Elephas maximus indicus: one gene and its partner. The protein of the gene in region 1 binds, or shares a complex with, the protein of each later gene. Links are inferred from orthologs where the notes say so. Each region holds a gene or a part of one and is shown in the gene's direction. Other genes may lie near its edges.

The links.
Region 2: the proteins of RAD9A (region 1) and RHNO1 are in contact, whole or in part, in a crystal structure (PDB 8WU8), measured with the Homo sapiens proteins. The link is inferred for Elephas maximus indicus from reciprocal best matches to the Homo sapiens genes RAD9A and RHNO1. Residues at the interface, in NP_004575.1 of Homo sapiens: Val41, Ser44, Arg45, Ser46, Ala47, Tyr48, Glu130, Leu132, Gln133, Ala134, Val135, Glu165, Tyr181, Glu183, Thr216, Phe217, Cys218, Gly244, Pro246, Val261, Leu262, Ala263, Thr264, Leu265, Ser266; in NP_001239428.1 of Homo sapiens: Thr88, Lys90, Phe91, Pro92, His93, Leu94, Thr95, Phe96, Glu97, Ser98.

Annotation. Positions count from the first base shown.
Region 1 is NC_064825.1:130,420,526-130,431,366, forward strand, and holds the start of RAD9A (cell cycle checkpoint control protein RAD9A), read left to right. Parts: upstream 1-6,522; 5' UTR 6,523-6,624; coding exon 6,625-6,658; intron 6,659-6,729; coding exon 6,730-6,800; intron 6,801-6,806; exon of another isoform or gene 6,807-6,928; intron 6,929-7,617; coding exon 7,618-7,746; intron 7,747-8,061; coding exon 8,062-8,176; intron 8,177-8,261; coding exon 8,262-8,361; intron 8,362-9,679; coding exon 9,680-9,789; intron 9,790-9,894; coding exon 9,895-10,150; intron 10,151-10,237; coding exon 10,238-10,375; intron 10,376-10,841. UniProt on the Homo sapiens protein: Component of the 9-1-1 cell-cycle checkpoint response complex that plays a major role in DNA repair. The 9-1-1 complex is recruited to DNA lesion upon damage by the RAD17-replication factor C (RFC) clamp loader complex.
Region 2 is NC_064822.1:59,067,163-59,077,541, forward strand, and holds the start of RHNO1 (RAD9, HUS1, RAD1-interacting nuclear orphan protein 1), read left to right. Parts: upstream 1-5,949; 5' UTR 5,950-6,044; intron 6,045-9,111; exon of another isoform or gene 9,112-9,390; intron 9,391-10,379. Other genes in the region: FOXM1 (forkhead box protein M1), read right to left, coding at 592-783, 2,334-2,485, 3,043-3,544. UniProt on the Homo sapiens protein: Involved in microhomology-mediated end-joining (MMEJ) DNA repair by promoting recruitment of polymerase theta (POLQ) to DNA damage sites during mitosis.

The DNA of each region.
Region 1 (10,841 bases):
GAATGGCAGAGCTGGCTCATGGTGGGGCTCACAGCAGCCTTCTCCCCCATGCCACTTCCTCCTCTTGGGCTGGCTCTTCTGCCCCCACCCAAGAGTCCTTTCAGTCTTTTCTAGGTTCTGGGTAGGGTCACTATGGGTCTGAATCGACTCAACGGCAGGGCGTTTGGTTTTGGTTAGACTCTGTCACATTTCCAGGCCTCATCTCTCACATTTCTCTGGGTGGCCTTTCCTCCAGGCCCCTCATGTAGACTTGCCGGGCTTGGTCCAAGCTGATGGTTTCTTCTGTCCCCAGTACTGACCCTGGGATACTGTGGGAGCCCTTCCAGAAGGAGGAGGACCCAGCAGTAATAACAGCGACAATAACTGTGTGTTCTTAGAGCCGTATACATTAGGTATCATCCTCACAGCAGTCCTCTGAGGTGGGGACTGCTACTATTACCCACAATTTACAGACGAGGAGACTCAGGCTCAGAGAACATACTCAGCGTCTCCAGTTTTCATACAACTTTTAAGTGATGGAGGCAGAATTCTGACCCAGGCAGGCTGGGCCGAGGGCCCCTTGCCATCTTATCAGATAATCCTGGGTTCAAATCTGCTAGCCTCTCTGAGTCCCATTTTCCTCAGTCATTCAACACATATTTATTAAAGCATTACTATGGCCAAGCACAATGGGCTCAAACATAGCAATGATTGTGAGGATGGTGCAGGACTGGGCAGTGTTTCATTCTATTGTACATGGGGTCGCTATGAGTCAGAACTGACTCGATGGCACTGGCACCTAACAACGCCAATAACAACAATGGCCAAGCCTTGTTCTGGTCGTGGGGATAAACGCTGGGGAACAAGAAAGATGTGGGCAGAGCTTGCCAATAGGAAGCCAGCGGCACCCCCATGTGCCACAAAGGCAACACAAGGGGTCAGCGAGTGCCCCCCAGCAAGTACCATTTCCTGTGCGTGCAGTGTCTTGGGAAGGCAGGGAGGTGCTGCCTTAGGGACCAGATCAGGACAAACCAGAGTGATCTCCCAAACCCCAGACTCCTCTACTCTTCTGCTTTTCAGTTACTCCAACTTGGCAAAACCCCAGCTGTGAGTAATCCCACCTCTGCTCTAGTATCTACAGGGAGGGCAGCAGAGGGTGCCCAGGCAGGACAGATGGTACCTGCTGAATTATCCTCACCGCCACCAATGGCTCCTCAGTGCATACGCTCTCCTCGCCAACAAACTCTCCATGCCACACCTCCCTTGGCTGGCTCCCTCCTCCAGGAAGCCATCCCCAATGCCAAGACCAGGTCTGTCTACCTAATGACAAGCTCTCATAGCCCAGGCCTTCGTTGTTCCTGGTCCTTCTCAAAGATGTAATTTTATATTTACCTTGGTGATTCTTTGACTAATGTGTTTCCTCACTAGATTGTACCCCCTGAGCTCAGGAGCCTCAATTCTTTTTTTTCTTTTTTTGCGCCCTCCCCATTTTACCAGAAGGGCCTAGCATGGCACCTGCCACCAGGGGTACGGGTCCTTACGCAGCCAGGCCAGCTCTCTGCACAGCCTTGGCGTCAGCTGTTCCCTGTGCTGGAATGCGCTTGCCCAAGAGCCTGCGGGGCTCACTCCCTGCCTTCCTTTCTTCCTTCCTTCCGGCCTTTGCTCAAATGGGGACTTCTCAGTAAGCATCTGGCTGCAGCCCTCTCTCTCCACACTCCTGTCTCCCTCCCTCCCAGCCATGTTTTGCCCTATACCATTTATCACCTTCTAACATACATTTTCTATCCCTCATGTGCATGTGAAAGCTGGACAGTGAGTAAGGAAGACCGAAGAAGAATTAAAACCTTTGAATTGTGGTGTTGGCAAAGAATGTTGAGTGTACCATGGACTGCCAGAAGACCGAACAAATCTGTCTTGGAAGAAGTACAGCCAGAATGTTCGTTAGAAACAAGGATGGCAAAACTTCATCTCGCATATTTTAGACCTGTTATCAGGAAGATTGGTCCCTGGAGAAGGACGTCATGCTTGGTAAAGCAGAGGGTCAGCGAAGAAAAGGAAGACCCTCAACAAGAAGGGCTGACAGTGGTTGCAACAATGGGCTCAAGCATAACAACAATTGGGAGCGTGGTGCAGGACCAGGTAGTGCTTTGTTTTGTTGTCACTGTGAGTCAGAACCAACTCGAGGGCACCTAACAACAACAACAACAACATACATTTATTTGTGTCTTTGGTTGTCTTTCTTTCTCCACTCAGTAGAAGCCACTTGAGAGCAGGATTTTCTATTCTGTACTCTATTTCCTGTGCTTAGAAAAGTGCACGAAACACGCATGGAATGAATGAATTACTGAGTTCCAACGTCCCCATCGGGAACACTGGTGGCATAGTGGTTAAGGGCTACGGCTGCTAACCAAAAGGTCGGCAGTTCAAATCCACCAGGCATTCCTTGGAAACTCTATGGGGCAGTTTCTACTCTATCCAATAGGGTCTCTATGAGTCAGAATCGACTCGACGGCAGTGGGGTTTGTTGTTGTTAACATCCCCAGCAGTGGTGATTGCTGTGACTTCAAACCTAACTAGTTGGGCGGTGGCTTTAAGAAGTGGTGGTTGAAGGGAAGAAATTTCCCAACAGATAATTACTTTAAAAGCTTGAAATAGTAACTACTGTCACCTTCCTCCATTAGTGTCTACCACGGCTCCCCCCTCCCACTTACCTACTGATAGGTGGCCACCTCTAACGTAGGGGTGGCAAAGAGTATACAAACTTTGGGTTTTAAAGAGTCCTAAGAGAGCATCTCATGCAGCCCTTCATTTTGAGGAAACTGAGGCCCAGAGTAGGGCTGGAGCTCCCACCCACAGGCTTCCCGTCTTCCAGTGCAGACCCGACATCCACTTTGGGTCCCTATACCCGTCCCCTGCCCAGCCCTCCCCTTGCTCTCAAAGGGGCCCTGGTCGCTCCATGTCTCTCATCCCTCTCTGTGCCCTCCTCCCTCTGGACCTGCAATGCTTCATTGCCTCTGGCAAGTGCAAGCCTAGAGAGGCTCCGTAGCCTTCCAGCACGGGAGAGGACTGTTCCACATTCCCCCCTTTTGATCAGGATCCAGCTGTTGAGTCCTTGATCAAAATGTTCAGTAACGGTAGCCAGGCACCATTCACTTCTCCTGGTCTCATGGTAACAGAGGTAGTAGTTGATGGAGACAGTTAAACCTGCAGTCCATTTCCTTTTCCTATTCCTGAATCTCCTTTCTTTTCTGTTGTTTCAGGCAAATAGGGACCGATTGTGGTATTCTGGGTGGCTGCTTACAAGCTTTTAAGACCCTAGGTGCTACTCACCAAATTAGGAGGTGGAACAGAAACTCTGAAAACAATGTTAGGCCAATTGACTGGATGGACCCACAAAGCCACCACCCGAAACTTTTGAACCAAGAGAATTAATGAAGTTTTTCATTGTACCTAAGTAGTATCAACAGGAAGGAACCCTCAGCAAGGTTAAGCACTTGGCTGCTAACCGAAACGTCAGCAGTTTGAACCCACCAGCTGCTCCGTGTGAGAAAGATGTGTAGCCCGCTTCTGTAAAGATTTACACCCTTGGAAACCCTATGGGGCAGTTCCACTCTGTCCTACAGGATTGTTAAGTCAGAACCAAGTCTATGGCAGTGGATAGCATCAACAGGCACAGCTCCCCTCCCCCGTTTTGTTTTGGCTGCTGTTGTAGTTATAAATTATATAAAATGCTTTATTTGCCATTTTGCCCCCCCCCCTTCTTTTCCTGTTGTGCAGCTTAATGGTAATAGCTACATTAGTTTGGTGAGACTAGCCAATGGCAGCTCCTCTCCAGTGCTGTGGACAGATGAGGGGCACAGGGAACCTCAGTGTGTCAGGGTTGGAAGGGTCTCCGAGGGCATCTCACCCCGCATCAAACACATCATAAACCTGATGCTGTGGATTCCGACTCACAGTGACCCTCCACGACAGAGTAGAACTGCCCCATAGGGTTTCCGAGGCTGCAGTCTTTACAGAAGCAGACTGCCACATCCTTCTCCCTGGAGAGGCTGTGGGTCTGAACTGCTGACCTTTTGGTTAGTAGCCCAGTGCTTAACCGTTGTGCCAGCAGCGCTCCGTCATCACCTTGACTAGACGAGGGAACAGCTCCAGAGACGGGGAAGGACTTGCACAAAGTCACACAGCAAATCAGCGCTGAAGCCCAGACAGAGACCCAGCCTCCTGGTGCCTAGCTCCATGTCCTTGAGAGCTTTCCAGTGATTCCTGACTTTGGGGGGAGGGTGAATGAAGACTCATTAAAGAGTCCTACAGAGAAGGTAATCAATGCCACTAGATTGTAAATGGAGAAATTGTTGGTGTGTTCAACAACAAAAATTAATTATTTAAAAAAACAGCCCTAGAGAGCTTGTGTTTCTCTCTCCCTTGGGCCTTGATGCAAAACCCCAAGGCCACAGGGCCCTACAGACCCACAGGGGTCAGGGAAATTAACCTGACCATGGGAATATCCACAGCTGTCCCCTCTTTGGCCTTCCAGACAGGAGCACTGGGATGCTCTCCTACTCCAGGTAATAGGTCTTCAGTGGTAACAGGGTGGAGGTGGAGAAGCCCTGAGGCTGTGCCGATTTACCTTAGGGGTGGGGGGAGGGGGTGGTAAGAAAGAGAATAGCTGGTGCTGGGTTTTGTTTTGTTGCTAGAGAGTGGAGATGGGAAGAGAAGAATTAGGCAGGTCAGGTTGGCCTGCTGCTTTTACCCTAGCACCATGCTAAGGGCAACTCACAGGCAGCGCCATTTTATCTGGATGGCATATTCACTAACACCTATTTCCTGACCATCCACTGAGGCCCTGTGTGAGAGACAGGGCAACAGCAATGAACAAAACCGACAAGGTCCCTGCCCTTGTGGAGCTCATGTACTAGTGAGGAAGACAGACGTTAAATAAGTAAACACATGTACAAGACTTGTGATAACTGCTATGACCAAAACACACGTGCAAAGATCCCGAGGGGAAAAGGATGTGGCCCTTTCAGAGAACCAACAGGGCCTGTGGGGCAAGGCAGGGTGACTGAGAGAAAGGCAGGAGATAGGTGGAGAGATGCTGGGCCGGCTCCTACAGGCTGGGTAAGGATTTGGGATCTTACGCTAAGTATAGTAGTTGGCAACCACTGCAGGATCTAAACAGGGAGTGGCATGATTCCATGGACATTTTAGAAAGGTCACTTTAACTGCTGTATGGAGGGTGGATGGGGGCGGGGGACAGTGTGGAGGCAGAAGACCACTCAGCTGTTAACAGCCATCCAGGGAGAGTGGATGGTGGCCCAAACCAGGACGGTGGCAGCAGGGACAGAACCGGGGCAGGGGAGGGGGGCAAATTTGCCATCTGATTGGGAGCTAGGACTGTCAAGACTTGCTGCAGGATTGGCGCATCTGGGAAGAGGGTGGTGTCCACAGGGACTCCGTTTACTGGCCTGTATGCCCAGGTGGAGGTAGTGTCATTGACACTGATCCCCGGGAAGGAGAAAGGGAATTACAATCTCCTGCCCCGTTGCTCTAGGGAGGGGGTGAGGGCTGGTGAGGCAGGGGAGCTGAGGGCAAGGAGAGCGGGTGCAGAAGTGCAGCGCCAGGAGACAAAAGAGCCGCGTCCCTACAGACAGGGCCAAGGGGGGCAAGCACTGGCTGACCCTAAAGGGAAGCAGAAGACCCTTCGAACGGCCAAACTTCGGTGCTGCCGGGAGCTAGAGGTCAGGGCTCCCACCCTGGCCTGCCTTCCACTCCATACACGTGGGACTGAGGTGCAGGGCAAGGGGAGGACCTCCGGCTGATGAACGCCTCCTTTCGCACAATGCTGGGTTTTAAAAAAATAGTCTCAAAACCACGACTCTACCCTCGTCAACCTTTTCCTGTGTTTCCCAGCAGCGGCCTCATCGTCTGGTGGCGCCCCTTCCCTCTCCCCGGTGCCAATCCCCACGCGCTTCGCTCTTGCTCTTCTACCCCTTTGTCAGGAGAATCTTTTCTCTTCCTGAATCAATGAGGTGCCACCCCTTGAAACCAGAATGAGCAGCCACCGCCCACCCCTGGCTCCTGCAGCGCGTCGCGTTAACATCTTTTGAGAGGTGGTGGTTGCTGCGTGTGTCCGAGTCCTCAGCCCATACTGGGTGCGGACGGTCTGCTTTCCACCCAGTATCCCCAGACACGCCCGAAAGTCTGTACTAAATAAGGGCCCCGGCGGGCTCGTCCCCGGGCTCTGGCCTGCGAGCCCGGGGCTCGCTCCACTGCGCCATGCACCTCCCGCCCTGGAGCAGTGTCCCCGCGCTCGTGCGCCCCGCCAAGTGGCCTAGCACCCAACGGCACGGAGGGGCCGGGAGGGCTACAAGGAGCGAGCACCGCAAGCGCCGCCGCGCTCCGGCCCACGTGATAGGGGCCTGCGCCTGAGAACGGCTGCGTCACGTGACGGAGGGGCCGGGAGCGTTTCTCACGTGACGGCGGCGCGCGCTCGCAGGCCAATGAGGCAGCGGGGGCGGGGCCGGCGGGGCGGCGGCTGGAAGGGCGCCCAGGCTTCCGTGGAGGCGGGGGGGCCCCGAGCCGGGCCGGTTGCGGGGGCTCCGCGGGTGGGTTTGCAGGATCAGCCCGGTGCGGTACTGGGGCAGCATGAAGTGTCTGGTGACAGGCGGCAACGTAAAGGGTGAGTCTGGGCGGCGGGGACACGTAGGACAGGCCAAGACACCTACCTAACCCTTCTCTGCTCTCCTGCAGTGCTTGGCAAGGCGGTCCACTCCCTGTCCCGCATCGGAGACGAGCTCTACCTGGAGCCCCTGGAGGACGGGGTGAGGGGCTGGGGCGTGGGGAGGATCCCGCCTCCCCGGGCACGGTGGCCGCGGGTGGGCTTGTCAGCTCTTTCAGTTTCGGCCCCATTGCTGGAGCTCGTCTTGGGCCCTGTCAACCTCCCAGCCTGGTGTGTGAGCGGAGAGCAGCTGCCCTCCCTGGAGTGGCCGGTGACGGGTTGGGGGCGACTTAGCCTTAGAGATAAGCAGGGAGAAAGGCAGAGTGTGGGGACAGCGCTGAAGGTGGGAGCAGGGTCGAGAAAGGGTCAGGGAAGGCTTCCCAAGGAAGGACCCATTGAGACTGTCCTTGAAGGAGAGGGAAGATCTAACAGGTGATGGTGGAGGTGGTAGGTTCCTGGGTGGTGCAAATGGTTTGCGCTTGAGGAGCCCTGGTGGTGCAATGCGTAAGAGCTGGGCTGCTAACTGAAAGGTTGGAAGTTCCAATCCACCAGCAGCTCCTTGGAAACCCTATATGGGGCAGTTCTGCTCTGTGAGTCAGAATCAACTCGATGGCACATAACAACATCACAACAACAATTAATCTAAAGGTTGGCAGTTCAGACCCACCCAGTGGTACCAAGGAAGAAAGGCCTGGCAATCTCCCTCTGTAAAGGTTACAGCCAAGAAAACACTGTAACATATGGGGTTGCCATGAGTTGGCATTGACTCCACAGCAGTAGGTTTGGTTGGTTTGGCGGCGGGGGTGGTGGTGGTGGAGGACATCAGGGCAGTTCTGTAAGCAGAGGCAGGCCATGGGGCCAGCCTGTCACTGCCCCTGACCTTGTCCCCCGTCCCCCTCACCCTGCTTCACCTGGCCCAGCTCTCCCTCCGGACGGTGAACTCTTCCCGCTCTGCCTATGCCTGCTTCCTCTTCGCCCCGCTCTTCTTCCAGCAGTACCAGGCAGCCACCCAAGCCCAGGAACCCGTGCGCTGTAAGATCCTGATGAAGGTGAGGCCCCCTCTTGGTAGGAACCCCCACCTGCAGGGCCTCCACTCTGGGCACTCAGTAGCTGCTAACGGGGTAGAGAAAGGGGCTCAGTAAAGACCTTCTCGGAGAGTAGTGGGGGCATATGGAACAGCAGCAGACTGATGGGGAATCCAAGTGAGCCTGCAGGGTGGGGCCACTCCAGACAGGGCGAACAGCCAGAACCAAGGCCTGGACGCGTGTGAACATACGCACATTGTGGCGGTCCCTGTCCTGGCTGATGGGCTGGGCTGGGGCTCACAAGCTGGAGGCATAGCGCTGGCTTACGTTTCCCCTTAGTCGTTCCTGTCAGTCTTTCGCTCGCTGGCATTGCTGGAGAAGACAGTGGAGAAGTGCTACATCTCCCTGAATGGCAGGAGCAGCCGCCTAGTGGTCCAGCTGCACTGCAAGTATGGTGAGTGGGCAGTGCCGACTCGGGGGCCCTGGGGTGTGGCATGGGGGGTTGAGAAGCCCCCCTGAGACCCTGTCTGCCCACACAGGGGTGAGGAAGATTCACAACCTGTCCTTCCAGGACTGCGAGTCCCTACAGGCCGTCTTCGACCCAGCTTCATGCCCCCATGTGCTCCGTGCCCCGGCCAAGTGAGCACACCCCCTCCCCCTCACCTCGAGCACAGTCCCCCATCTGGATTCTTTGAGAGGCACCTTCTCCATTTCCGTAAAGGGTTTCTGTGGATCCCAGCCCTGTGTGCTCTCCAGCCCTTGTCTGACTCTTCGAAGGTAGGGGCTGAGCAAAGGGGGTGCATGGGTGTCCCTTCCTCCATTTCCTTACTATTTCTACACCCCTGTGTTTTCCACACCTCAGGCCTGACTTGGCTCTCTGGGAGCCTCAGACCTAGCCTGATGTCTCTTCTAGCAGTCACTTTCTCTAGCCTGAGCAGCTGAAGGGCCATCCCTAACCTTGGTGGCTCAGGGTTTCAGCTCCCTGCAGGGCCCAGTCGTACTTTGGGGGTCTTCCCCCTTTCAGCGTGGGCACTGACTATCGCCTGCCCTGGCGCTGGCTCGTGGAGTCCCCAGGCCCAGGCAGAAGGCCAGACGGGGAGGTTGTGGTCCAGGAGAGTGGAGTATTCTGGGCACTGCAGGGTGAGGGAGGTGGGGATGCCAGGGAAGGCAGGGGTCCCTGACAAGTACCACCTCAGAGAGGAGTGGCCCCTGGGCACTGCTTGCATCCAAGTGGCCGAGTTCCCATTCATTCTCTTGGTAGCCTTAGGACATGGTTGTGTGAGGTTCCCTTTGGGTCTGAGAGTCTGTTTCCCTGAGTTCTGTCGAGAGAGCTCCGCTCAGGGCTCCTTTGGATAGAGAAAGGGGGAAGGCCGTCCCTTTTGGTCTGAGTTTTGTGACAATTTAAATCACTCCTTTTAATGAACATTTGTCTTATGGACAGTCTGAAACACGTAAAAAAGTAGAACATAGTATGCTGACTCCTTGTACCATCACCCCCAGCTTGTGTCCCGTTGTTCTGAGGCGGACTCCAGGTGTTATTTCATTTATCACACGTATTGGTCAAAGACAAGAAGTTAGGGAGGGGCTCTTTCTGAAGGCCGGTTGGTTGGGACGGTATGGGTGTGGCTTCCCACCTCCGGACCCCATTCTTCCTTCCCCGCGGGAGAGCCCTCTCCCATCCTGTATGCTGGTGCTGCCCGCCCTGTGTGGGCCTTTGTCTGTCCCGCCGCCCCCCACCCCCCCGACCCCGTCCTGCTTTCAGTGGACTTGGGCTGTGGCAGGGAAGGACCAGGCCTGCTCATCCTGCCCTCTCCTTCCCAGGGTGCTGGCCTGGCCCAGGTGTAGTTCTCCTTAGATGCCAGTGTGTGTGTGTAGCCCCCCGTCCTCTAGTCCTCTGAGAGCAAGGCTGCCGGGCAGGGCTGGCCTGGCCTGGGGATAACACTGCCTGTCCTCACAGGGTCCTGGGGGAGGCTGTTCTGCCATTCCCCCCTGCGCTGGCTGAAGTGACGCTGGGTGTTAGCCATGGCCGCAGGGTCATCCTGCGAAGCTACCAGGAGGAGGAGGCAGGTAAGGGAGCCAGTCTGGGAGGGACACATCCTGGGCTGGGAGCAGAGCTGGGCAGGCAAGGGCAGGGGCCGGGACCCAGGTTCCTCCTGTTCCTTCCCACCCCAGACAGCACTGTCAGAGCCATGGTGACAGAAATGAGCATCGCGGAGGAAGACTTCCAGCAGCTGCAGGCCCAGGAAGGGGTGGCCGTCACTTTCTGCCTCAAGGAATTCCGGGTAGGTGTCCCCGATGCACGCGTTGTCCCGACCTCCCTGCCCAGCCCAGCACAGGGCCTGACCCTCCTTCTTCCCTCCCAGGGGCTTCTGAGCTTTGCTGAGTCAGCAAATCTGTCTCTCAGTATTCACTTTGACACTCCGGGCAGGTAGGTCCTACGTCTGGACAGGGGACAGGGGACAGGGGATGTCGGGCCTACAGGTTCTGACTGTCCTTGGGCTGGTCCCCTGCCCAGGCCAGCCATCTTCACTATCGAGGACTCCCTGCTTGACGGCCACTTTGTCTTGGCCACGCTGTCAGAGCCAGACCTGCAGTCCCAGGACCTGAGCTCCCAGCAGGCCCGCCAGCCAGAGCCTCCACTCCAGGCTCACAGGTGAGGGCTCCGCTACGCTTGCCTTCTTCTCCCCTGCGCTGTGCACCCTGGCCTGGCCGAGCCTTGTTGCCAGCCCTGCTCCTCCCCCACACATACTTCCTGTCAGGCCCCACGGAGCTCCTAGCTTCCAGCCCTGCAGACTCATCATGGTCAGCTGTGCTCAGAGACCCCTCCCACCCAGGGACCGTCCCCAAGGCCCAGCTGCTTCCTTCTTTGGCTGAGGCCTCCCGGTGAACCTCCTCCCAGGCCGAGGAGGGAGCTGGCTGCTGGGAGGCAGGGCGCCGCCCGGGGTGGAGAGGCAGGTGGCTGGACTGGCAGGTGGGCTGGGAGGCTGGGCCCAGTGCAGCAAAAGCAGAGGAAGTCTGGCCTGGCCGCCCGCCCAGCATGTCCACTGGGCCCCAGCGAGCTCCAGCTCTGTCCCCTGGGAAAGGGGTAGGGGCGGGCTCTGGCCCCAGGTGGCCTAGCT
Region 2 (10,379 bases), on another chromosome or scaffold:
ACCTATTCCCAAATGGGATTATAACCACTGGTGTAGGGGCTAGGATTTACCGCACATATTTTGGTGGGACACAATTCAATCCATAACCCTTGTGGTTCTGACATTGACCAACTGTGTGAGTTACAAGGATGCCCAGGCATCTCAGTCTTTCTGTGAATAAAATGAAGAAAACAATCCTGCCCACTAGAATGATATGTAACATTGTAGGAGATGAATCTTCAGTCAAAAGGCTCACAGGCAGTGGTTTTGTTGTTTTTCTTCATCAAGATTTTCTCATACAGCTACTAAGCCACTCTAGTTGCCAATACTTATGGCTGTTTTGATGCAGCATAAAAGTGGGCTTGGGGCTACACTGAAGAGTCTCTATAACCTTAGATAATGACAGATGAAGTGGCCGCAGAACTCTTATTGATGATTTTGCCTAGATTCAGTAGGATCAAGTCACAATCCAAAAGATACATCTATTTATAGGTCTAGTACCCTTTGCATTGAGCTGCTCCTTCAGAACACCAACAGAAACTGCTGTACAATACCAGAGACAAACTGTAGGGCCAAAGTCACATCAACTTTGGCTGTTAAGGGGCATATTACCTTCCAGCCTGGTTTGGCAATGTGCTTAAAGTAGGGGAAGTGGTCCTCGATCCAAGTATAGATGTCCTTCAAAGTCATGCGCTTCCTCTCAGTGCTGTTGATAGCGAATTGTATCATGGCCATGTAAGAGTAGGGTGGCCGCTCAGACATGGAGTCCTGCCAGGATGTTGATCCTCCAGGGGCCTTCTCAACCTGAGGGTTACGAGAAGCCAAAGGGAAGGAAAAAAGGGAATGACATGGAAGAGTTTGCAAGAAAGGCCCCCCCCGCCATAAACATCCCCTAGAGAAAATTTTTATCCATAGAATTGTACTAGATACATACTTATCTGAGACCACTATTCCATAGAAAAAAATTTGTAGGGTTAAGAACGATCTAGGGATGATCTAGTCCAGTCCACAGTCAATGTTTGAATCACTTCTCTGTCACCATTTTGTTGAAGACATATAAAACCAAACCCATTGCCATCAAGTCGTTTCTGACACACAGTGATGCTATAGGACAGAGTAGAACTGCCTCATAGGGTTTCCAAGGCTGTAGTCTTTATGGAAGCAGACTGCCACATCTTTCTCCTGCAGAGAGGCTGGTGGGTGTGAACCACTGACCTTTGGGTTAGTGGCTGAGCATTTAATCACTGTGCCACCAGAACTCCTTTGTTCAAAGTACTGCCCAGTTAATAAGCTGAGGTCCAATTACTTCTAGTTGAAACATCTCAGCAGAGTTTGGTTATATATTGTGATTCTCAAAGTATTGGCTTTATAGTAAAACCATACCTGTTTTTCAGATTTGGGGGTCAAGAGAACTAGGTCTTAGTCCAACTCCTCCTCCTGATGTGATGTGAATAAATTCATCTCATTTCAATGTTTGTATGAGAGAACCATTCCCAAAAGTACACTTTTGGCTAAGTGCTGGTTACTCCCATTTTTCTAAATTGACATATAATTATAAAGTACACAAATCTTAAGTGTACAGCTCAATTAAGTTTTATATATGTATACATTCATGTATATTTTCACTTTCAAAGGTTGTTGAATGAATGATTAAAGGATATATCCAACAGAATCTAGATGTGTGACACTGGCAACTGTGAAAAACAACCCAGACCATATGATTGGGTCAAATAAATCTTGATTGCTGGGATGTGTTCAAAACACATCTAATTCACTTTATTTGCTATTAATATTAAATCTTCTAATACAATTATCTTGTTAGAGATGCTGTATTCCTTTCATACTTTGGGGTGCCTCTCTAACATAAAAGTTGCTTCCCAAACTAAGTTTGTCATCGTTTCCTGAATACCTACTAAGGGCAGAGTACTATACTCAGTACTGATGGAAATATAGAGCGAGCCAGCCTGAGGAATTGGCTCTCAAGGAATTCTCACAGGTGGAAGAAAAAGATCCCAGGGAGAAAAGTAGCTCAAAACAGAGTAGCAATAAGCAAGCAAAAAAAATAACCAAGCCATTGCTGTTCCGTTGATTCTGATTCATAGTGACCCTATAGAACGGAGTAGAACTGCCCCACAGAGTTTCCAAAGAGCGCCTGGTGGATTTCAACTGCTGACCCTTTGATTAGCAGCCGTAGCTCTTAACTACTACGCCACCAGGGCTTCCAGAATAGCACTAAGTGGAGTATAAATACTAGAGCTTGGACATCCTGCTCCAGCAGGCCACTTGATCTAGTTCCCTTTTAGAAATTCCCCACAATGGCTAACTCCCCTACTGAGTGCCCTAGAGCGGTGCACCTTAACTTGACTCTGTTCCAGGTGATGATTCTCTTTTTCCTCCATTTCTTGCTTGATGCCGCAGGAGCCCAGTCCATCAGAACTCATCTTTCCAAGCCACTGGATATTGGTCAAGCTGTTGTCGAGAGTGCAGCCTGCTGCCTCACCGCCAGCTAGACAGAAAGCAATCCAAGACTCCACTTAGCTGCCTGACCAGACGCCTGGCAGGCCCATCAAAATTTGTGGTTAGGGACCACTACTCCAAGACCTCTACCCTTAGGGACAGGGAACACATGCTAAATCTAATGGGCCCTAAGTTACTCCACCTTATTAGGGATTTCAGGAGAAATTCAAGTTGCAATTCAATCAAGCTGCGTTGCACCTTAAAGATCAGGCAAGGCAACCTTACGGAAGAGTTATTTGAGTATTTGCACAAGGAAAGTAACTTTTTTTCCTTCTGCTTTAGTTTTCTACTTCCTTATAGGATCAATGGAAAGGAGAAATAGAAATAATAAGTTCTTTTCCAATATAAAGAAGGCAATAGAAATGCTAAATTATAATCACAATGCTTTCAATGGTGCCCAGAGGATATGGTCAAAGCTACTGGGTGAGGAAACTTGGTTCAGGCTGCACACCTGTCTGTTATAAGCATCAATACGACTGACTGCAGACCTTGCCACCAGAGAAGAAAGGCTGGGCTCCTCACCCCTTTGCCTTGCAGATCACATACCACAGCTCTCCCATCGCTGCCCCGGAAGGGCTCCAGGAGGTCTAGGAAGATTCACATCCCTAGCTGTAGGCTTTGGTCCCAGGGTTTCGGTTATCACTTCTGTCCTCTTTGAATCACAGCTGGCTTGGGTTACAGGCTGGGGTCCTGGAGGGTGAGTGGGGGCTCCCCCACAGCTGATGAGGATGAACTTGTTGGGCCCACTGCTGCCACTTTCTTTTCCTTTGGCGGTCAGTGCTGTGATGATGCTCTGGATATTGGCATTGTTGGGGATGGCCACCACTTGGGTGTTAGGCATGGTAGGGTGGTTAATAATCTTGATTCCAGCTGGAAACTTGCAAGAGCTAGACTCTGCCACCTCCTTGGAGGCCTGTGCTTGGCCAGGCTCCTGTTGGGCAGGGGACTGCTTAGGTTGCTCCTCTGATGTTTCACCTGGGGCATTTTGAACAGGAAGGGGCAGCCTCCGTCTTTTGAGAATCAGTGGCCGACGGGGGCTGGTTTTCATTATGAATCTGTGCTTTCACTCTCCATTGAGAATCACAAGCATGGACCCTGGAAAGTATAAGGAGGAGCAGGATATCAGAGATTTGTTAGGCTGAGAAGGAGCTTCTCTTAGAGAGGCATTCCTATTTTTATGGCCAGAAGTATGAGCCTAAGGGCCCAGGTAATGCTCCCTGACCTTTGTAGAGGCTTACCTCCAATACTAAGATGAAATCCACTGACTAAAGAAAGGTAAAACTGAAGCAAACAGAAGCAATTCAAAGGGGGAAAGTGGAACTGGATTGGATTTGGGTCAAGACAGCCAAAGACTTCCTGCTGGAAGCTTAAGAATGCTTGGCTACAGAAACAAGTGAGATAGCCACAAAATGTAGAAATTATAATACACATTACTTGCTATGACTGGAGGGACAGGGATGGGAGATGCTGGAATAGGAAGGCATATGGTGATATATAGTCCCAACAAAACTCTAATGCCATAATCCATTCTAGGATAGAGCCTTTATATTTTTATGTAATTCTACTCTGTAAAAAATAGGATCAGTGCCCACAGAATCAGGGGAGAGAGGCATATTGCACTATTGCCGTAGCACTGGAGAAATCATCTCCTAGTTCACAAGGGCTCAGATAAAAAGCTTGCAGGCAACCCTTGCTCTATTTAAGGGCCATGGTGAAGTTGTGCAGATTGTGCACTGCACAACTCTAGCGGGTGCCATTCATTTTACAGGCTACATTATCATTATCCTTGCATTAATAAGGGAACCCTGTGGCGTAGTGGTTAAGAGCTACAGATGCTAACCAAAAGGTCAGCAGTTTGAATTCACCAGGTGCTCCTTGGAAACTCTATGGGGCAGGGCAGTTCCACTCTGCTCTATAGGGTTGCTATGAGTTGGAAAAGACTCGATGGTAATGGGTTTGGTTTTTGGTTGCATTAATAAAAAGAGTATTTTTCTTTCAGTTTACAAAATACTTACGCAGTGACAGTATTAGTACTTGCATGTGCTTATCTTTATTTTAGATTTCTAAGCATGTTACTGTATTAATTTCTCTTCCAGAACAAAGAGGATAAACCTTATCTCCTGATTCCTAGAATGGACTATCACCAATATGCTAAGGGAGCTTTGTAATGCTGAGGAGGGTAGTTTTTCTCTTGGGGAGAAAAATTGTGCTTTGTTAATTTTTAATAGCTACATGAAATACTCTGCCAGTTTATGCAAAATTGTGTAATTCTATTTAGAGGTACTTTGAGAGACAGGGAAATTGGCTGTCTCTTTTAGGACATCTGCTATCTCCCGAAAAATGATTGACACATTTGTATGACATTTGCCATCTGCTTTTTTGGTGCCATCTGCTTAGAATTCACAGGCCTTTCCCACTTTGCCTCTTCCCCTTCCTATATATCTAGGTTTCCTTTACCTTCAAATCTCAGTTTTACTTCCACCTCATATCTCTCCTGGCCTCCTCCCCTCCTTCCTCCCATCAGCCAGTAGCTATTATCTTCCCCTTCCTCCAAAATATCTTCTTCCTGGTCTAAGTCTTAATTTTCTCTTCTACTCCCTGACAAGCCTCTTCCTAGTATTGCCAACAACACTTTCTAGCCTGACAAGCCTCTTCCTAGTATTGCCAACAACACTTTCTAGCCCGGTGACTTCCAGAGTAACCCCATCCTGACCAGGGAAACCTTGCTAGATTCTCAACAACCAGGAGAAGGGCCCTGTAAGAGTAGGGTGGAGGCAGTGTTGCCTAGTGGTGAGAGCGCCTGAGAGCAGGGGAGTGTGTGTGGGTTGATCTTTCACTTACTGGAGAATAAGCTCAGTCTTCAGTTCAGCCACGATTCACACTTGGTAGGCCACCTCAGCCCTCCTGATGCAGGGTACAGAGGTCACACTTCCAGTAAAAGCCAAGTGGTGCTTAGAGAAATAAGTGAGAAGGCCGAGACCAGAGGTTGGATGCAGAAAAAATTTGCACCCTTACTCAGACCTCCTTCCCCGTGTGGTCCCAAACCTCCACTCCTGTCCCGCACCCTATTGCTAGACTCCCTGACTTCCTCGCCCGGAGGACTTACGGAAGCGGTGCCAGAGACCTTGCTCCCTGCCTCTGCCCAGGCCCGGCCTCAGCCTCCATTCCTCTGCCCAGCTCACCTCCCGACTGCAGCCTCCGCCGCTGCTGGGGTGAGGCTCCTAGGGCGGACTCCGGGCTCCTCCAATCTGGGGGCCGAGCCAGGGTCCCGGATAGGGACTCGCGCCAGGCCGGCCAGGTCCCCGACGGTGCGGGAGGGGTGGGGAATCCCGGGGGATCCCGGGAGGGGAGGGGGTCCCGGGCCAGGGGCCGGGGGTGGGGTCCGGCACCGGAGCTTTCAGTTTGTTCCCCTGTTTGAAATTGGCGCCGGCGGAGCGTTGCGGTCACGTGACGGGGCGTCGCCAATCGGCGCCGGCCCTTGTCTCCGAGTTCCGGGCTCGAAGCCGTGGAGACCTGAGAGGAGACGCGGCCCTGACCCTGCCGGGCGGGTAAGAGAAGCCCGGGACCGGCCCGAAGGGAGAAGGCTCCTGTGGGCTCAGAGGGGGCGGTGGGAGCGGGAAGGAGCGAGAGGGGGGCCCTGCGGTTGGGGTGGGGGGAGCGGAGAGACTGTGAGGGGACGCGGGAAGATGGTGGTGACTGGGACACGGCCCCTCTCGGCCTGCTTCTGCCGCTTTCCCACCCTCCACGCTACCCCTCTCAGGATTTCCATACCCTCTTTAAAGGTCTGTTTTAACTGATATCCTAATGGGGGGAAATTGTAGTCCATTCACCTCCGATTACCGATCCTCTGGTACCCCCAACTAGACTGAGAGTTCTTCAAGGGTAGCACATAACCTTGTCCAAGTGTCTTGCATCTTAAAACACACAAATAAATTCTCCCTCAACTCTAAATCTTCAACTACTGACCTGTCTCCTGTTTGTCTCCACTGCCAGCCAAGCTTTTTGATATAATGGACTAAAGTGCTTTATTCACTTACTCAACAAATGTTTGCTGAGCACCTACTATGTGCCAGGCAGTGTGATAGGCCCTGGGAATACAATGGTAGACAGTTTTCTGTCTCATGGGCTTACCAGACTAACTGGGGAAAGGGGCTGGCATCACAAACATCATCAAATGTAGAATTATAGCTGTGAAGTGGTAGAGGTAAATGATACTTTGAGTATCTGTAATGAGGTCTTGAGTTATGTAGGTCAAGAAAGGGTTTTCTGATGAATTGAAGCTTGATGTGAGATCTGATGCCTTTGTGCAAAAAAGGGAGGGAAGCCCTCTAAGTAGAGGGAGAGAATGAAGTGTGCAAAGGCTGTGAGTGTGAAGGACACATGGTGAGTATGAAGTCGGAAAAATATCTGTAATCTAAGGAGTTCGTAGGATTGCTACGAGTTGGAATTGACTCAGTGGCAATGGGTTTGTTTGTTTGTTTAAGAAGTTCGAGCTAACAGACCTGAGTGAAGCGTGGTGTGAGATGAAGCTGGAGCAAGAGAAAGCAGAGCCTAGCCATACTGAGTTGTGTCCTTATCCAAAAACTCAAGAAAGCCAATCAAGTTTTAAGCATCAGTGAGTCATGGTCAAACTTCCATTTTTTAAATTGCACATTTTTAAGTGGATTAGGATAGACCAGTTAGGCTGTCGTGATACTCCATGGGAGAACTGGTTGGAGCTTGAAGAAGGGGGGAAGGGGTGAAGACAGGGGGAGAAAGAGACGATTATTGAAGACAAATTTAAGAGGTAAAATTGACAGGACTTGGTGCTGGGTTGGATGAAGGAGGCGGGGAGAGGGAAGTGGCAGGTTTCTGGCTGCATAACTGGATGAAGCATGTACTATTTGCTGAGACAGGGCCCTGGAGGTGGGAGGTGATGATGAGTTCAGTTTTAAACATGTTGAGTTTCAGGTACATTTGAGGCACCTAGTTGCTGTCAAGTAGACAATGGGTATATGGGTCCTGAGCTTAGAGAATTCTAAACTGAATGTGTACAGTAGGCAGAAATTAAAATATGAGCGAGTGAGATTGCACAAGAAAAGTGTATGAGTGAGAAGGGTGCCAAAGCATAGGTGGAGGGAAAGGCCTTAGACTGCAGAAGGGACTGACAGCACCTCTACAGCTGAGAGAAAGAGGATGGATGCAGCTATGCATAGGTTTGTGTGGTTGATTTCTAGAAAATGAGAGTATTTCCTTTGGTGGCTTCTGTATTCTTTGTGAAGTAGGACGTAAGGTCATCTGTTGAGAGAAGAGGAGTTCAGAAGTCTTAGCAAGTGGAAAAAACTTAAGATAATCTTTGTGGAGAGTTGATCAGGGAATCATAGTAGGATTGCTGGGCAAGGCAGTAGGCCCATTTGATGGTGAATTTCAGCAAGTCATTAATTTCAAACCTTTAACCTTGGCCATTGCTACCATTATCTCTGTCTCCATTGGACTCCTGCAGTAGCCTAACTGGACTCCCTGCTTCCTTTCTCCACCCCTCTCTTCCCAACCAGGCTTTCCTCGCAAAGTACCTGGAGTTATCTTTTGACACTCTGAATCAGCTTATGTCACTTCCTGTCCAGGGCCTTTCAGTGACTTCCTATCACACTAAGAATAAAATCTAATCCTAGCCTACAAAGCCCTGTGTCACATGAACTGGTTCCTGCCTTTCTACTACCTCATCTTTTAACTACTCTTGAGTTCAGTGACCCTGACCTTACTGTTTCTTGAACAGGTCAGAAATAGTCCCACTTCAGGGTCTTTGCATTTACTATTCTCTCAGAGTTCAGCATTCTTCATTCATATCTTTCCATTGCTTGCTTGTTCTTTTTTCATTCAGGACTTTGTTCAAATGCTACCTCTTCAGATAGGCCTTCCCTGACAACCTGATCTAAAATAGCACTCAGTCAGCTCAACCCCTTATCCTGTTTGATTTTTCTCCTACTGCTTATCACTTTCCACTGAAAAAATCAAACAGAATGAAGAGTTGAGTTAACTGATTGCTCTCAGATTTAAAGCACCATGTGGGCAGGGATTTTATACTGTTCTCTGGTATATATTTCCAGTACCTGGAACAGTGCCTGGCATATAGTAGGCATTCGTAAGTGTTTGTTGAATGAATGAATGAACAAATGGATGTGTTCATTATTTGTGCTCTCCCTGAAATGTTAGTTCCTTGAGGGTAGGTGGGGACTTTGTCCTTTTTTTCTCCTTCTTCCCCTGATTCTCTACTGCCTAGTGATATAAATCAGATCATGTTAATTTTCTGACTCATGAATGTATAGTGGAAACAATCTGCTCTGTTGTGTGACTTTTTATTACTTTCTGGTCCTGTTGGCCTTATCTGTCTCCAGCCTCCCACCTCTACTGACAGAGCTCAGGTTCATATCCTCATCACTTCTCTCCTGGATGACACAGTAACCTCCTAACTGATCCCCTTATCTCCAGAGTACTCTTCCTCTCTGTCAACTTGGTTAGGCCATGATTCCCAGTATTATGTGGTTGTCCTCCATTTTGTGATTATAATTTTATGTTGAGAGGATTAGGGTGAGATTTGTAACACCACCCTTACTCAGGTCACCTTCCTGATCCAAGGTAAAGGGAGTTTCCCTGGGGTGTGGCCTGCACCACCGTTTATCTCTCAAGAGATGAAAGGAAAGGGAAGCAAGCAGAGAGTTGGGGACCTCATACCACCAAGAAAGCAGCACCAGGAGCAGAGCACATCCATTGGATCTGGGATCCCTGCACCGGAGAAGCTCCTCGACCATGGGAAGATTGAAGACAAGGACCTTCTTCCAGAGCCCACAGAGAAAGAAAGAGAAAGCCTTTCCCTGGAGCTGATACCTTGAATTTGGACTGTTAGCCTACTATACTGTGAGGAAATAAATTTCTCTTTGTTAAAGCCATCCCCTTGTGGTATTTCTGTTATGGCAGTACTAGGTGACTAAGATACTCTCCTTTCATATTGTAGCCAGGATGATCTGTCTAAAAGACAAAAACAAACAAAAAACACAAATATGGCATTTTTAAGACAATTGAAAATTTGAAAACTGGCTATTTGATGATATTAAGGAATTTATATATATATTTTAATTACATTTATGGGAACGATAGGATGACTGGGAATATTGTATTTGCCTCAAAATAATGAAGGGGTGGAGAAAATGGATAGGAGTGTGGATGGGTCAGGACTGGTCATGCGTTGATGGATTTTGGAGCTGGCTGATGGTACGTGGGGGCTCATTATATTATTCAGTTTACTTTTGTGTATGTTTAAAACTATTTGGGGTAAAAAGTTAAATTAGAAAAAAAAAAGCCACATGTAATCATACCGTTCTGCTTGAAAATTTTCAATGACTTCTCAGGCTAAAGTCCAAGCTCATATAGCACAATTTATTTTTCTGATCTCTGACTCCATGTCTAGCTTCAATTCTTGCCATTCATCTCCTTATACCCTGTGTCCACCTATATTGATTTTGTGATTCCCTTAATTCACAATACCTCCTGTCCGTGTGCCCTTGTATACGCTGTTCCTCAGCAGGAGTGCCCTTCTTTGCTTCTTCTTTCCATGCCTAGGCCAGGTATCTCCCTCTCCTGGAGGCCTCCCCTGAAGAGAGTGGAAACATTCTTCTCATTTTGTACTGTAATTTTTGGTCTCCCCCACTAGACTCAGCTTCTTGAAGATAGCAACGATCAGACCCTTGTATCCTTATGAGTGGTCCGCACTGTCAAACCAATGGTTATTCATCTTTTAATTCTCACTACCCAGCATGGTGTTTAACACATGCTTAGTAAATGTTCACGGGATGAATGTTGTTGAATAGGAACTACTGTGTTTTTGCTTGGTGGGGTAGGTGTAGGAA